3 linked regions of the Bombyx mori genome follow. The protein of the gene in region 2 purifies or fractionates together with the protein of the main gene of each other region. This does not show direct contact. Links are inferred from orthologs where the notes say so. Each region holds a gene or a part of one and is shown on either strand. Other genes may lie near its edges.

What was found.
Region 1: the proteins of serine/threonine-protein phosphatase 2A catalytic subunit beta isoform (region 2) and immunoglobulin-binding protein 1 purify together in Drosophila melanogaster (affinity purification with western blotting; 3 studies listed by BioGRID, with this or other methods). This does not show direct contact. The link is inferred for Bombyx mori from reciprocal best matches to the Drosophila melanogaster genes mts and Tap42.
Region 3: the proteins of serine/threonine-protein phosphatase 2A catalytic subunit beta isoform (region 2) and HPO purify together in Drosophila melanogaster (affinity purification with western blotting; 3 studies listed by BioGRID, with this or other methods). This does not show direct contact. The link is inferred for Bombyx mori from reciprocal best matches to the Drosophila melanogaster genes mts and hpo.

Annotation. Positions count from the first base shown.
Region 1 is NC_085111.1:1,744,532-1,749,767, reverse strand, and holds the start of immunoglobulin-binding protein 1, read left to right. Parts: upstream 1-1,776; 5' UTR 1,777-1,886; coding exon 1,887-2,012; intron 2,013-2,609; coding exon 2,610-2,818; intron 2,819-3,468; coding exon 3,469-3,586; intron 3,587-4,074; coding exon 4,075-4,300; intron 4,301-5,236.
Region 2 is NC_085109.1:3,330,174-3,334,870, reverse strand, and holds part of serine/threonine-protein phosphatase 2A catalytic subunit beta isoform, read left to right. Parts: intron 1-1,820; coding exon 1,821-2,125; intron 2,126-3,199; coding exon 3,200-3,385; intron 3,386-4,454; coding exon 4,455-4,508; intron 4,509-4,697.
Region 3 is NC_085111.1:709,043-714,472, forward strand, and holds the start of HPO (serine-threonine kinase-like protein), read left to right. Parts: upstream 1-1,970; 5' UTR 1,971-2,449; coding exon 2,450-2,577; intron 2,578-5,430. UniProt on the Drosophila melanogaster protein: Plays a key role in the Hippo/SWH (Sav/Wts/Hpo) signaling pathway, a signaling pathway that plays a pivotal role in organ size control and tumor suppression by restricting proliferation and promoting apoptosis.

The sequences.
Region 1 (5,236 bases), on a different chromosome or scaffold from region 2:
CAATAACAGTCGAAGTTCGAGCGATTTCCAAGCGCGAAACATTGATAGTTTCACTTACATTATATTTCAATTATTATTCCCAAAATATTATATTTTAAGCTTGTTAATATGATTGTCAAATGCCGCTGCCGAAAATTCAGTAATTAATCATTAGCTTGGTACTATATTTATGTATAGCGTCGGGAGTTTTGTCGCCTGTTTCTTTTGAATATGTGAACCCTGAAGTTATGTGAATTGTTTTTTTTAGTTAAGTATTGCTATAGGTTAAAATTTTAAATTTAGTTATTATTAAATATTATTATTAACTAGTTGTGACTCATTGACTGCTTAAAAAGTGAAAGTTCCAAATATTGTGTATTTGAATTAAGTCGCAGGACACGTGCACTCGTTTTTTTTTAAAAAAATACCAAATTACCAATGAAATATTGGTCATTTGCCAACATTTTACGAAGAGGTTAATTTCACTTTGTTTCAATATATTTTTGCTACAAAGATTTGAGTCCAACATTTCAATCTTCAGACTTATTTGTAAAAGCGATGTTTTCTTTGCCTGACGAATTAAACAAAGCAAATTAATTAACATAATTTACCGGTAAAATGGGGCGATTAGGGATTGAGAGGCGAATCGGGAAAAAACCGGGAAAATCTTTCGACGCTCAATATAAGTTTTATATTCGTTGCAAAATCTTCCATTTTTTGTAGTTTAATAGTAGAATGTTGAAAGTTCACAAAACAACTCTGAACATGCATGATAATAGCTACTAACTTATAAAAAATCGCGTTTCAAATTAACTTCCTGTGGTGGTAATTATTTTAGTGCTAGAAACTTTGCTCTCTTTGATTTATTTGATAATAATAGAAGACGACTATGATTTATAAACGTTATTTAGTGTTTGAACCAGCATATATATTAAAGGTAAGTCTCAGTTGTTATTGGTTTTAATGTATTTGATTAAATAAAAATACATGTAAAAATCTGTTGTTTTTGGGGATATTGGGGACGTCTTAGGTACAAATAACAACGAAAAAGAGGTCAATTGGGATGAGAATACGTGAAATGGAAACGACCTAAGTATAAATAGGTACAGGTTTGTAGGGTTGTCTATGTAGATATAACAATATTTTTTAAATTTGTTGGTAAAAATCTGGTTTATTCGAAGCGAAATTGGGAATAAGTCTTTAGTTGAAATAGATAAGCAATTTAATATAAGTAAGTCGATTTTGCAGAGACATGTAACAAGATCAATGAAATCTCAAGGTGGACAAAAATGTCTAAGTAATACATAATAAAATATTTAATATTTGTTCGGAGTAGGGGTATTCATCTGATTAATCCATGGAATAACCGACACACCTAATCTCTTAACCCAGATAGAAATATCAGCACTGTCGATTGCACCTATAATTGAGGTGATGTCTGCCATGTACTTTTGTCAGTTTTTCAATTTTTTTTATTGATGATCACTTTGTTGGTGCAACTAAATAAATAAATTAATTAAAACTCTATATAAAAATAAAAGTAGTGCCAACCCTAGCAAATTTCTCATTTCGTCCCAATTAACCGCAATTTTCGGGTAAATAGGGATTACACCTATTTTTGCATTTTTTGCTTAAACTGGAACGCTAGTTGCATAATTTTCAATTAGACAACAAAGATGCCCCCAAGACTCAATCATTTTGATCCTGATATAGCATTATATACATCAACAACTACCTTAAAATTGCTCATAAAGTTGGAATTTGTCCCTAATCGCCCCATTTTACGGTACTGTTTCCCACTGTCACGTGTCACTGTTGTCAGACGTCAGTGTCAGTATCAGATTGTGACAATTGTTGATTGTTTTAGTGCCGATTTTATTTGGTAAAGAAAACTAAAATAAACCGGAATGGCTGAAGTTGATACAGAGCAAGATATATTAGAAGATTCCTTGAGCAATATATTCGATCAAGGAATGAAATTGTATACAACTGTAGAAACAGTCAAAGAACCTATGAATAGCGACAGTGTTCAGGTAGGTTAGAGCTGTTTATATTTAACCGACTACATTATATTTATTGTTGTAATGAAATTTTGTGATATATATTATATCACAAATATATTTATAATAAATTCATAATGACTGGATATACTCAAAGATCGTACAATGCTCTCCGTGTTCAATACAATAACGCGTTTAGGGTGCTGGTGGTGCTGCCCCGCTTTTGTAGCGCATCCGGGATGTTTGCAGACGCGCACATAGATTGTTTTTACGCTACCATGCGTAAGAGGTGTGCATCTCTGGTAAACAGAGTGAGGGCCAGCTCCAACAGTATCCTGAGCATGATCGCAAGCAGGCTGGACTGTATATACATGGGTCGCTGTGGTGCCATCTCCCATGGGATGTTACCACAGTAATTCATTGTGATGTAAATATAACTACTAACATAGGTCTAAGTCTTATTAACAATTTATATGAGTCATGGATACTTGAAATAAAAACATTATTATTATTATAATAAATAATATATTCATATTTCAATTACTACTACAATAAAAATAAAATAAAAATATGAATGGAAACTATTAAATGTAAATTTAGAAATGCTTTAAATATTATCACAAATAACAGGTAACCATAAAAACTGCAATATCCAAGTTCGAGAAGGCCACGAAACTAGTGTCACTTTCTGGAATGTTCAGTAAAAATGAAAAGTTGGAAGAGCTGCCTACAGAAACATTAAAGTACATGCTATTACCTGCATTACTTGGCACCCTAACGTTGAAAATTTGCAGACCGTCCAGAAAAGATATTATCGAAGTAGCGGAAATATATTTCAAGTAATCCAATTTATATTCTTTAATACCATAAGCTTAGGTTCATCAATCTGGTACACATTGCTTATTTTCATTATGTCTGATGCTGGAAAACAATCTAGGGCTCTCTACCACCATAACAGAATTAGCTAAATGTTTTTGATTGGCATCTATTACGAATTAGCTTATAGATATTAGGCTTATAGCTGATATAAGCCTACTGAGTTTTTCCCAGTTTATTTTGAGGCTAGGGTTTACATGTTGTGATATTCAATTGAAGATTTAAATGTTATGATCCTGTTTATCTCTGAAATCATGTTTTCAGTTTGAACGGTAGATAGGAGATTTGCCACTAATATTATAGCTTAATTGCAAGTCTCAAGATTTTTAGTGCTTTCATTTCCTAGTGTTGCCAGTAGGTTCCAGTTACTATTTAATTATAGGTCTGCTTTGTTTGCTCATTTATCTAATGCTGGTTAACAAATAATATTAACATCAATGAATGATGCAGCCTTGGAGTAGTGTATTCTTATATTACATATTAACTAATTGGGCAGTAAGATTGCAGTGGCATTTGAGTAAAACAAGCATTTAAAAGATGCAATAAAAGCATGTAAAAGATCAGAATTTTGTCTGCTGATATTATTTTTAGTAAATTACTGTTTCGTTCACAGAGATTTTCTTCAAAGATGCAAAGACTATGGGGTCACAGACGTGGAGATCCCACAATTAAGTGATAGCAACAGTTCCTCATCTAGACCACAGAGCCAGCAAGATATAATAGCTGCAATGGTAATATTATTGTCCTTTATACTTATGAAATGAAAGGTCAGATTTTTAAGCAAGTTAGTTCAAAGTTGGTTATTTAAAAAAATCTGTCATCGGGATCTTGTCAAGACTTCCAATAAATGTAGTAAATAGAATTCAGTATTTTTGGCATATTTTCTTTAGTTGGTGATATCATTAAATTCCAACTTCAACTACATTGTAAATAACTTTGCAATCATTGGACTTATGTGTATGTATTCCAGTTTGTAGATCCATCTATCCACAATCCATCATCACATCCACAATCCATCATCACATCCACAGTTATCTAGTTATCATATTGTTTCAAGTGAAGGCAGGTGTGATTATATAATAAATAAAGTATGTAAAAAATATTCTGATTGTCCTGATAGTAATTATCAAACTGATGAGTACAGCAGTACATACGAGTCATGTGCCAGCAAGTGTTATCTTTAATTACTTTGTAAAGTAAATGTAATTTTTTATTTCAGGTTCAAAGTAGAGAAACTAAAATAAAACGATACAAAGAAGCAAAAGAGTTAAAAGAGAAACTCGGTACATTGTCAAAAGCTATGTCATCACCCATTGTTGATGACGAAGTTAAAAGAGAGTATTTTCTGACGATGTTACATAGCTACGTCAATGAGGTCTTGGATGAACTTAGCAGTATTGAACGGGAGAAACCTATACTGGAAATGATTAGTTGTTCTGGTGAAGGTAAAATTTTTTTTTTTGTGAGAAAAGGCATAATTTACAATTGTACAATATTATATTGTAATATATTAGTAGTACTGATTTGAAGTCGTCGTGGCCTAACGGATAAGACGTCCGGTGCATTCGTGTTGAGCGATGCACCAGTGTTCGAATCTCAGGCGGGTACCATTTTTCTAATGAAATACGTACTCAGCAAATGTTCACGATTGATTTCCACGGTGAAGGAATAGCATCGTGTAATAAAAATGAAACCCGCAAAATTATAATTTGTGTAATTACTGGTGGTAGGACCTCTTGTGAGTCCGCGCGGGTGGGTACCACCACCCTGCCTATTTCTGCTGTGAAGCAGTAATGCGTTTCGGTTTGAAGGGTGGGGCAGCCGTTGTAACTATACGTGAGACCTTAGAACTTATATCACAAGGTAGGTAACGCACTTACGTTGTGGATGTCTATGGGCTCCAGTAAGCAATAAAAAAAAAAAACATATATGTATTTACCATGCGCATGCCGAGTCCATTGTGTTCCTGAGATAGGAATTTGAAGAATTCCAATGGCATTGCGATCTTAGTGTAGGTTTAAGTCGCCTCTATCAATTCGCATTAAATTCAACTCCATTTCTCTGTCTGCCTAGCCAAATTTAATATCAGTGCAGCTGTTAGATCAAGTATGGAGCTTACAGAAGTTCTTGACAGGCCAGTCTTTTAGTAGGTTATAGATACATGTCTTGATATACCTCTCTCTCATAAAAACTACAGATTAAACCCTAAAAGAAAAAACAAATACTTTTTAAATTACATAATCATAATCAATTAGAGCGTCCATGTAAACCAACCACTTTATACACTCACACGCACTTACACACATCGACACAACACAATCAGATTCAAACTTATTCTGCAAGTTATCATTCGACAAAATTTATCTACCTATTTAACTGCC
Region 2 (4,697 bases):
GCCGTGCTTCGTAGAATCTACCACCGGATCGGAACTCAATGGGCTGTGTCTGTGGGTTAATTTACTCGCCGAGCCCTTCGTCGCAAGCGACGGGTTCGACGAAAACGATGACCGATGCTTGGGGTACCTATAAGCACCGTTAGTGGATCGGGAGGTTCCGAAATGACGTGTTTTGGGCGACGTTGACTGTGTACCATTCGGTCCGCAGGATCGGGAATGTAGTTACCGGAGGCCACGATGCGACGATTCTCGTGTCGTGCCGCTTTCTCGAAATTTCGCATTGATGCCGACTGTAGATACTTGCTGATGAACTCTAGATCCAGGTCGTCGTGGAGGTCGATGTTCCTGACGAACCATGGAGCTCCGACGGCTATTCTGCAAAAACGGGATTGAATGATTTGAAGGGGTTTCAAGTTAGTGCGGGCCGAGTGAGCGAACACTTCACTTGCATAGGTCATGACGGGGCGTGTGCAAGTTTTTGCTAGCCACAAGACAGCCTCATGGTTGTGCGTCTTAACACATCCATGGGCGGCTGTGACCACATTCCATCAAATGCGTCTCAAGCTTGTTTGATACGATTAGGAATTTCAAAAAGTAAAATATAAAACTTGCTAATTACAAAATTAGTTTAGTTTTAGTTTATGATATATAAAAGGTACATGAGGAATTAAGAGTGTACAATTAAAACTCAAACGATACAGCAAAGATTTTTTTAAATATTAATCTTGTACAACGTGACTCGACTTGCAATGATTATTATGTTTTATGAATAAGCGATTTCACGTTATCTCGTGGAAGGAGGGGAGGCTTAATTGAACTTTTTAAATACAATGTTTTACTTATCACATATTGAATTTGAACTGTGAAAAATGCACAGAAGAACTGATTGCCTCCGATTTTATATATATTTGCATTAGATAGTGAACGAGCTCACTGCCCATGTGTTGTTAAGTGGTTACTGCAGCCTGAATAAAGCTTCATGGATAAAACCATCTTGATTCATGAGGTCGAATTATCAGTTGCCTTGAATAACGGCGGGCCATTTAAACTGAAACGCATTAATTTTTCGTGGTAGACGTAGCCAGGATCATGGTACCTACTCTGAGGGCTCACAATAACCGTTATCACCGGTAAGTAAAGGTAGATAAATTTCGAAGAATAGATAAGTCAAAAGTAAACTTAAGTCAATTCGTAACTTGTAATCGTTTCGTTGAACGTTATGTTAATAGTTGCAAGGTCTCTATTTAAATGCATACAGCGACCTTAAAATAACAACCGTCATGCATATTCTTCATGAACTAAATATTATTGTGAAAATGGTGATGTGTATCTTCATCTTTATGTATCTTGAAAAACAATGCTTCTAAGTCCATAGGCGATGAATATAATACAAAATAATAAACTTACAGAAACATAAATGTTGCAGTCTTAACCAATTTGATTTCGTGATTTTAACTTTTCAAAATAATTTACTCGCTGGCGCAGTAGTCAGACAGTTAGACTGCTGAGTCGGGTTCAATTGCCACACTGGGTAAACATTCGTGTGAAGGAACAGGTTTCTTTACTCTTTTTTCTAGATATGTAATATCTGTAAATGTTTATATTTAAACGTATGTAAGCATGAAGAAAGAGCCTTTAGTAATAAGAACGTGCCACGGCTAATTGAATTATCATAAATCATATTGCCACTCGCGCAAATCTTAAAATAGAGAATCTAAGATGGTAAATTTGTTTTGTGTAAGTCCACGCGCACGTATTATGGACGTTCGATGATGGTTTTGTCAAGTGACAGGTAATAAAACGCGTCAATCTCGTTGCAGGTGCGTTACCGCGAGAGAATAACCATTCTGCGAGGAAATCACGAATCGCGTCAGATTACTCAAGTGTACGGCTTCTACGACGAGTGTCTCCGGAAATACGGCAACGCGTCCGTCTGGAAGCACTTCACCGATCTATTCGATTTCCTGCCCTTGACGGCGCTCGTAGATGGACAGATATTCTGCCTGCACGGTGGACTCAGTCCGTCAATCGACACCCTCGACCACATCAGAGCTCTGGACCGTCTGCAGGAAGTGCCCCACGAAGGACCCATGTGCGATCTCCTCTGGAGTGATCCCGATGACAGGTATGAAAAACAATTAACGCTAAACATACGAAAACGGGTCAAATTACCCATTTTGAACTTTTGCATTGAAAAAGCACGTATCATCTTATAGCTTTTGCACATTTGATTTCATGACTTTTCTCACCAATTAATCTAAAGTTATTAAACTATTTCTTTGTTTTGTTTTGTTTATTTTGAGTAATGCTTGTCGTATACCGTTATCTACTCTCTATGGTAGAAATAGGTATCAGTAAGTGTTGGTATGATTAGTGTTAATGCTATCTTAATAAACAGTTAATGTAAAATTCATAAATTTAATTTGGTCATTTCGTATTAGATGTAATTTAGTATTCAGATCAGTCTTCCGTGACCACGAAAATTCTTAAAGCATTCAAAACGTCGGAAATAATAAAATATAATAAACACGAGATTAAACCATAAAAATTCTTAAAGCATTCAAAACGTCGGAAATAATAAAATGTAATAAACACGAGATTAAACCATAAAAATAGTTTTAATTATGTTTACGACTCGCGAAATCCGAAGTAAACATTATACTTATTTAAAGGTTAGAATAGAATCTACCGAGCAACAATAGTTTTTAAAATACTATAGCTGAAACTAAATGGATACCACTTGTATGCACGTGCTGTGTAGTAGTTAGTTTAGTGTCTCTTGCAATGAATTGCTTTGACAAGTATTTTTTCAATCCCTTTATTCACGAACACCGTACCATCCGGCTTTGGAATGAACTCCCCTCCACGGTGTTTTGCGAGCGCTATGAAATGTCGTTCTTCAAACGAGGCTTGCGGAGAGCACTTAATGGTAGGCAGCGGCTTGGCTCTGCCTCTGGCATTGCTGACGTCCATGAGCGACAGTGACCACTTACCATCAGGTGGGCCGTATGCTCGTCTGCCTACAAAGGCAATAAAAAAAAGGAAAAAAAGAAAAGAATAATAGTGTAGACGTCGCTTTGAGAGAAGTCTTAAACATATAAAAAATTTAATTTCGATTCCAATATTTATTGTTATTTTATAGTTTAACGATACAATTAGTAATTAAATTAACGTCATAAAGTTATTGTTTGTAACACAGAGGTGGATGGGGCATATCTCCCCGTGGAGCCGGCTACACGTTCGGACAGGACATCTCGGAGACGTTCAACCACAGCAACGGGCTCACGCTCGTGTCCCGCGCCCACCAGCTCGTCATGGAGGGGTACAACTGGTGCCACGACAGAAACGTCGTCACTATATTCTCAGCGCCCAACTACTGCTATAGGTACGGCTGCAACTTGTATTTATCATTGGCCTATTTGTGCCGCACAGCATCAAACGTCCAGCTACGTATACTAATGTAGTCAACTACTACTATTCCAATGTAGTCAAGACCGATCGATGTGAGATCTCAATCTTGTGATGTTAACTAGAACTGGCAAGTGGGTTGTGGAACCATCGTGTTGGCAGTCCTCTGCCCATCTGCTCTAATAAAGAAATATGTAGGAACAGAAATATCAACACCATCGCTTAATTGAGAGAAATGAAAGTAAACAGTATTTCTGGCTTGCAGTAGATTGTTACAGTCCGAAATAGTAATAGAATCTGAATCCTGTATTAAAATAATATTCCTTTTTTTTATAAATACATTTTTCCTTGATTATAAAATGACCAAGGAAAATCATTGTTTTCATAAATTTTGTTCAACTAAAGTGGATGTATAACAATCTGATGAGGTTCTTGTTTTTAATGACTGTATTCTGAGATTAATGTGTATGCCATGTATTATATTTTTTTATTGCTTAGGGCTCACGGCCCTTCTGATGTTAACGGGATTTGGAGCCCATGGACATTAAATGTGTAAATATAACCACCAACCTCGAGACACGAGCTCTAAGTCTTAAGTTTTACAGTACATCCAAACTGAGACGCATTACTGCTTCGCAGTAAAAATGTGCTGAGTGGTATACCTACCCTTGCGGGCTCACAAAAACCCTTACCACCATTTTCTCTTTGCTTCTGTAATTGACATTTGTCCTTAGAAAGATGGGAAAAAAACTGCTCCAATTATTTTTATAGTGAGAACAATCAAAGCTCCTCAGAATGTACTAAACAAAAAAAAATCGGTTGAAACTCATCTGTTATGTTTTTATAAAGCACAAAGGAAACTTTTAAAGTCACGAATTTTATAGATGTCATGTAAACATGGTCTTGTTTAGTTTTCCGGTGTGGATCGCTGATAACCGGCCTTATCTGTGATAAAAGCTGTTTGTTGAAATAGTATCGAACAAATGCAGTGAAATCTCAGTTTATTATGTAGAATACATACATTTTTCTGTTTGTTTTGTCTGCAGATGTGGTAATCAAGCCGCCATAATGGAATTGGATGATGCACTCAAGTATTCATTGTAAGTATTTCTTGTGCTATTAAAATATTTTATCAAAAAACGGAAAAATAGTCAAATCAATAACATCATCAAACATTTCATTATAATATTGAAAGCAGACTATGCGCCTTATAGGCAAATTGATGGTATGAAAGTACATCATATATAAACTTTGGAGCTTTTTTAAAAGAAATTACGAATATTTTATTT
Region 3 (5,430 bases), on a different chromosome or scaffold from region 2:
AGAGAATCATGAACTGTGGTGTCGAGAGTAGGGCGGGTCTGGTCAGCGTCTTGCCAGTGACCATTAGCTTCACCAAGCTTCCGTTATCCTTTCTAGCAATTTGGTTACTAAGCTATAAATTAATTTATCCAGTTTTATTTTATAGATTTTGTTGTAGAATTACAACGTCCGCATTAAAAAATAACCTTCCGTCAAGGTAGGCTCAAGGTCCGAATAATTTGTCTTTGTTGTAAAAGAACACCACTGCAACTCGAGCGTTGTATATTGTGCAGTAACGCCTAAGAGTCTACCACTATAAGCAGAGCTATTCTACGAGTAATGTTTCCTGAGTTCCGTAAACTGTGTACTTAACATAACAATGTATGAAACACAAGCGGCATTGGTTCGGACGCAGGCTCTCCGTTCATTGAACTGGTCGGTGGTAAACGAAAACAAAACCGTTTTGCCGACTGTTCTGCTATTTTGGTCTTAACGAAACGCCTGTTATCATTTTGCTTTAGTAATTAGATGATGTTCTTGTAGGTGTTCGTTTATGAGATTATGAACATAGCTACCGAAAACTTATTTTGTCCATTCATTTTTATATTCGTTGTTCTGTGAGCCCAACTAATATCCTGATTGTTGACAATTTGAATGGTAATGGTAATCGCATGTTTTGGTAATTAATAATCTTAGGTGATTTCATGATTTCATTTCATACTTTTCGCAATTGAATCACGTTAGTATATTCAAGTACAGCTTGTCTAATTATTAGCTGTGTTTTAGGATCATGTCATTTGCCGATTGTACAGACAATATAGACGATGATGTTTTGGACCGATTGGTATATTTTACAGAACTCAGTTACAACGTCCAGCCGTTGTGGATGAATCTCAAACTTATCTTTAATTTATGCCTCTATGTCATTCGAAGCGGCATTAATCATACTTGTAATTGAAACTATATTACCCTTGCTTTTTCTAATGGGCTGCAAATTATGTTTGTTTTTCTTTGGGCATTGTTCAATTAAATATGATTTTGGGTTCTTCTAAAACACTAGTACATATTTTTCTTAAGATACCCTCATTGATAGCTACGTCTTGTAGCGCGGTTTTTTAATTTCCTTTTTCTTTCCGTATAAAATATTTTGATGTAGTTAATTAGATATTTACAATACGTTAAGTACTACCTAAGTTAGACAATAATGAGCATTCAGTTGTCATTTTGTCGTCAATAAAATATTATTATAAACACTTAATATAGTTAACTTGCTTTTGAGTGATACCGTACACTTTTATCCACATTTTGAGTGATACCATACACTTTTATCCATCACAGAAAAATAAGAAATGAATCGTCATTCTACGATTTCTCCCATTCCAACAACGGTCGGATGGAAGTATCGGTTAGGTTAGTGGTAAATAGACTTCACGTGGCTACCGAATCGCTACTAAATATTTAGTATCGATTTGCCAAAATATACGCCTGGGTCTCCGTATCTTTTTCGTGATACCCAATACTTGCTATTTACGACCTCAAACTTATATTTGTTGGTGCTAAAAAAAACGAATAAAAAGGTTAGAGTTGTAATGTTGTAGCTAGTTAGAAATTTATTTATAGATAGACCAACACCCCGCATCATCATATAACTAGAGCTCACGTGCCCGTTTCGATATGTCATTATTTCGTGAAATAACTTTGTAGAGATGTGTGAGTTGTGGTGTTTAGGAATTTTGAACATCTGAGAAGTATGGGACTACCTACCTTCCACTAAAATATTTATTTCATTAATCGCTTGCCAGAATCGTTCTGTTGTTTTATGTCAAGTTAATACTTATTTATATAATGTAAAAGACTCATTGAATTTTAGATTTCGTTTTTCTTGCAATATCTAGACATCTGAATACTGTCTAGACCGAGTTTTGAACTCTGAGCACTCGAATGCTGTGAAACCTGAAGTAAATTGCTTTTGGGTTCACTTCACGCAGTCTGGTTTGTGACGTCGACGAGGGCGGACACGCTGTCTCCCATATAAAATGAGCTAATAATAATCTTTACAAAAGATACACATGTTTATTTTCGGCGTAAAGTTTTGTTGTTCTCATCAAGATTGTCTCGCAGTTTGGTTGTTATGTAAACTGTTGAAAAACCCAAAAACTTTAATGGTTCGATGCGTTTTCTAGACGATATTTTCATCGATACAAAATGCTTATCTAATGCACACATGTGTGTCGAATGCCACATGGACCGTAAACCCCATGTCAAACGATAGGCATGTCGTATGTTTACACGACAAATAAACTATCGCATGCATTTGTGAAGAGACGTTCACGAGTTACGGTGCACCAGTGATCTTGAAGATTGTGTAAAGAGCTGAATCTTTGACGCCTTCACCGATATAATTTTGCTGGCGACAATCTCCGTATTTTGAAAATCGCTATGTATGGGATAGTGTGATTTCCGCACCCTCATGGACAGTGAGGGTCGTCTAATATTCTGGAAGAGTGGAGTGTGGGAGGGCGGAGCTCCAACCCTAAACTGCAACACCTGCAAGAAACGTCGCGCGGACAGGATGAGCGCCAACGAGCGACCTCAAGGGTTTGTGATCATTTCAATATTTATTCAATGAAATGTTTGAAATGTCATCACACCATAACTTGATGATGATGAGATCAGGCTTAGTAAGTCTACCAATACTATCTGCTATCACAACTTCTTTTACTACGCTTAACATTTGAATATAGATACGGCTCAATGCAGTATCGCGCACATACTCTGTGATATGATGAGTGCCTCAAAACGTTAAAAAGGGCTTTATAATATGCAGCAATTGTATGAAAATATAGAGTAAAATACTTAAAGTTTGAACTGGAATCGTCTGTAACACGGGAAATAATTTTAGAATGAATCACGTCTCCGTTTCCCCGTAACTAAATAGCTTGTGTCGGTATCGGAAACCTGTTTTTCCTTGTGAAATAATGACTGTTTGAATAGTTAGTTGTATTTTGTTTGTTATCGTAGCATCCGTTTTGATATACGATTTTTTTGTATACTTTGTTTCTGTTTGGTGCTCGTACGATTTTCTCATCGCTGAGTCGCCACTTAGCGGTATATAACTGTAAAGATTCTCACTATTTCTCATAATTGGAGATCTGACATTGTTTAATCGCAATATTAGGTCCGATCGATCGTCTGTTGGTAGACATGATCTCACAACATTTTTCTAACTGTTTGATTACGAGTAGAGTTAATGTATTGTGAAAATTGAATGTGATATTCCTGTCGCGTTCAGTTTGTAAGTCTGTAAGAATCACGTGTTCAACGTATGCTAAGAATTCAATTCATGTTGCATGGCAAAATTAATGACACTAAAACAAACTTTCTGGCGGGAGCGAGAGGAATGAAATTCTGAGAATTGTTTGAATTAGTTCATTTAGTATTCAATCTGGTTTTGCTTAATGAAATAAATTCACAATAATCTTGCATGTGTCCTCTCGGGATCTAACAAGAAGCTCATTGAAGTATCATTGCAATTCCCACTATTTTAGGACGCTAACTTATTTCATCGTGTTTCATTAAAATTCATACCATAATTAATTTGCAATAAACCAACTTCATTTCATTTCGATCATTAAACTTTTCGTAAAACAAAGTACGTAATAAAAAAGAAGAGTTTGTTGAACCCGAGGCTGACAACAATGGCACTCCGGGAAGCCGATTACAATACTGGAGAAATCGGATGAAGACATAAACACAATCTTGTTATTGATATAAATATAAAGAACCAGAATAAAGATAATTCACGCATCTTAACAACCTTTTTATCTGTCGACCATGGTTTTCTTTATATTAGGAGCATTTTTTGGGTATGGTTTGGCCGAGACGAGTTTACAGCCCACTTCGTGCAAAACAGTTCCCCAGACCATCAATACCACAAACCAGTGGGTCAATTGGTCAGATACAACCCGCTCTATAGCCACACGTGTATTTAATTTTGTACCACGATATTATTTTTAAATCGTGAAAGTCATTCATGAACACGTATTGGGTTTATTACTTAGAAATTAGCGCTGGAGAACTGTAGCATCTTAGCAGAAACCTGGATTTGGAATTATTTCGAGAACTTTCGTTGATGTACAAACTCTCATCAATAATTTTGGTTTACCGCGTAAAATGCTTTACGTAAATGACTGCTTGTCATAGTATCAGCATATGGTACGTATTTAAGTTATTAAAGAATGCAGTGTTATCTTTAACGATGAGCTTTTAACAACCGATGTGAGTTGAAACGTAAATGGAGAAAGCGAAAAGAATATTTATTTAAATTAAATTGAATTTTTGAAATACCTGTTACGGTATAAACCAATGATTATTATTTTTTTTTTATTTATTGCTTATATGGCTGGACGAGCTCACAGCCCACCTGGTGTCAAGCGGTTACTGGAGCCCATAGATATCCACAACGTAAATGCGCCACCCACCTTGAGGTATAAGTTCTAAGGTCTTAAGTATAGTTACAACGGCTGCTCCACCCTTCAAACCGAAACGCATTACTGCTTCACGGCAGAATTAGGCAGGGTGGTGGTACTCACCCACGTGGACTCACAAGAGGTCCTACCACCAGTAATTCACAAGTTTCGACAACTCGAATTCTTTGCAATTTTCGGTGTCATGGAAGAGATCGATTATTTTCTGCTTAACCTTCCCTCATCTCGAAAACTAATTATTGATTATATGTACTCATAGTATTCTACTTGAAGCATGAATCATAGCGTACACGTAATGTATAATATTATGTTACATTGTCACAGCTGATCTAATATATTCATAATAGTCATTTCACGGTACCTACCGTCCAGTATATTTATCTTCTAAATACAATTTCATTGATGTATGTCTGTCTGAATCGTTTTGTCTCTTCGGTTTGTTTATAGAATGTTACGTGGAAGTTATTGAGAGTTTCATTAACTACGCAATGTAACTTATGATCTATATTATCTACTTTTTACTGGTGGTAGGGTGTCTTGTGAGTCTGCACGGGCTGGTATCACCACCCTGCCGTGAAGCGGTAATGCGTTTTGGTTTGAAGGATACTGTAAAAAACTGTAAAAAAACTGAGACATAGAACTCATGTCTCAAGATGCTTAGCGACATACCTATACGTTAATGATGTCTATGGGCTCCGGTAACCACGTAACGCCAGGTGGGTCGTGAGCTTGTTCACTCATTTAAGTAATAAAAAAGAGTGGTCGCTGGCTTGACTGTCAACTTCATTAACCTGAATAGGCTGACGAGATCATTGTCCACCTGATTTTAAGCAGTTACCTCAGCCCATAATAAGCTTATGGTTTGTTAAAGTTTATTTCTGTTTAAAATCGGTTGTAATGGCGCAGTTTTACGACGTTCCATAGACGGGATTAACGAGCAGCACATTGGGAGACGGTACGGAAC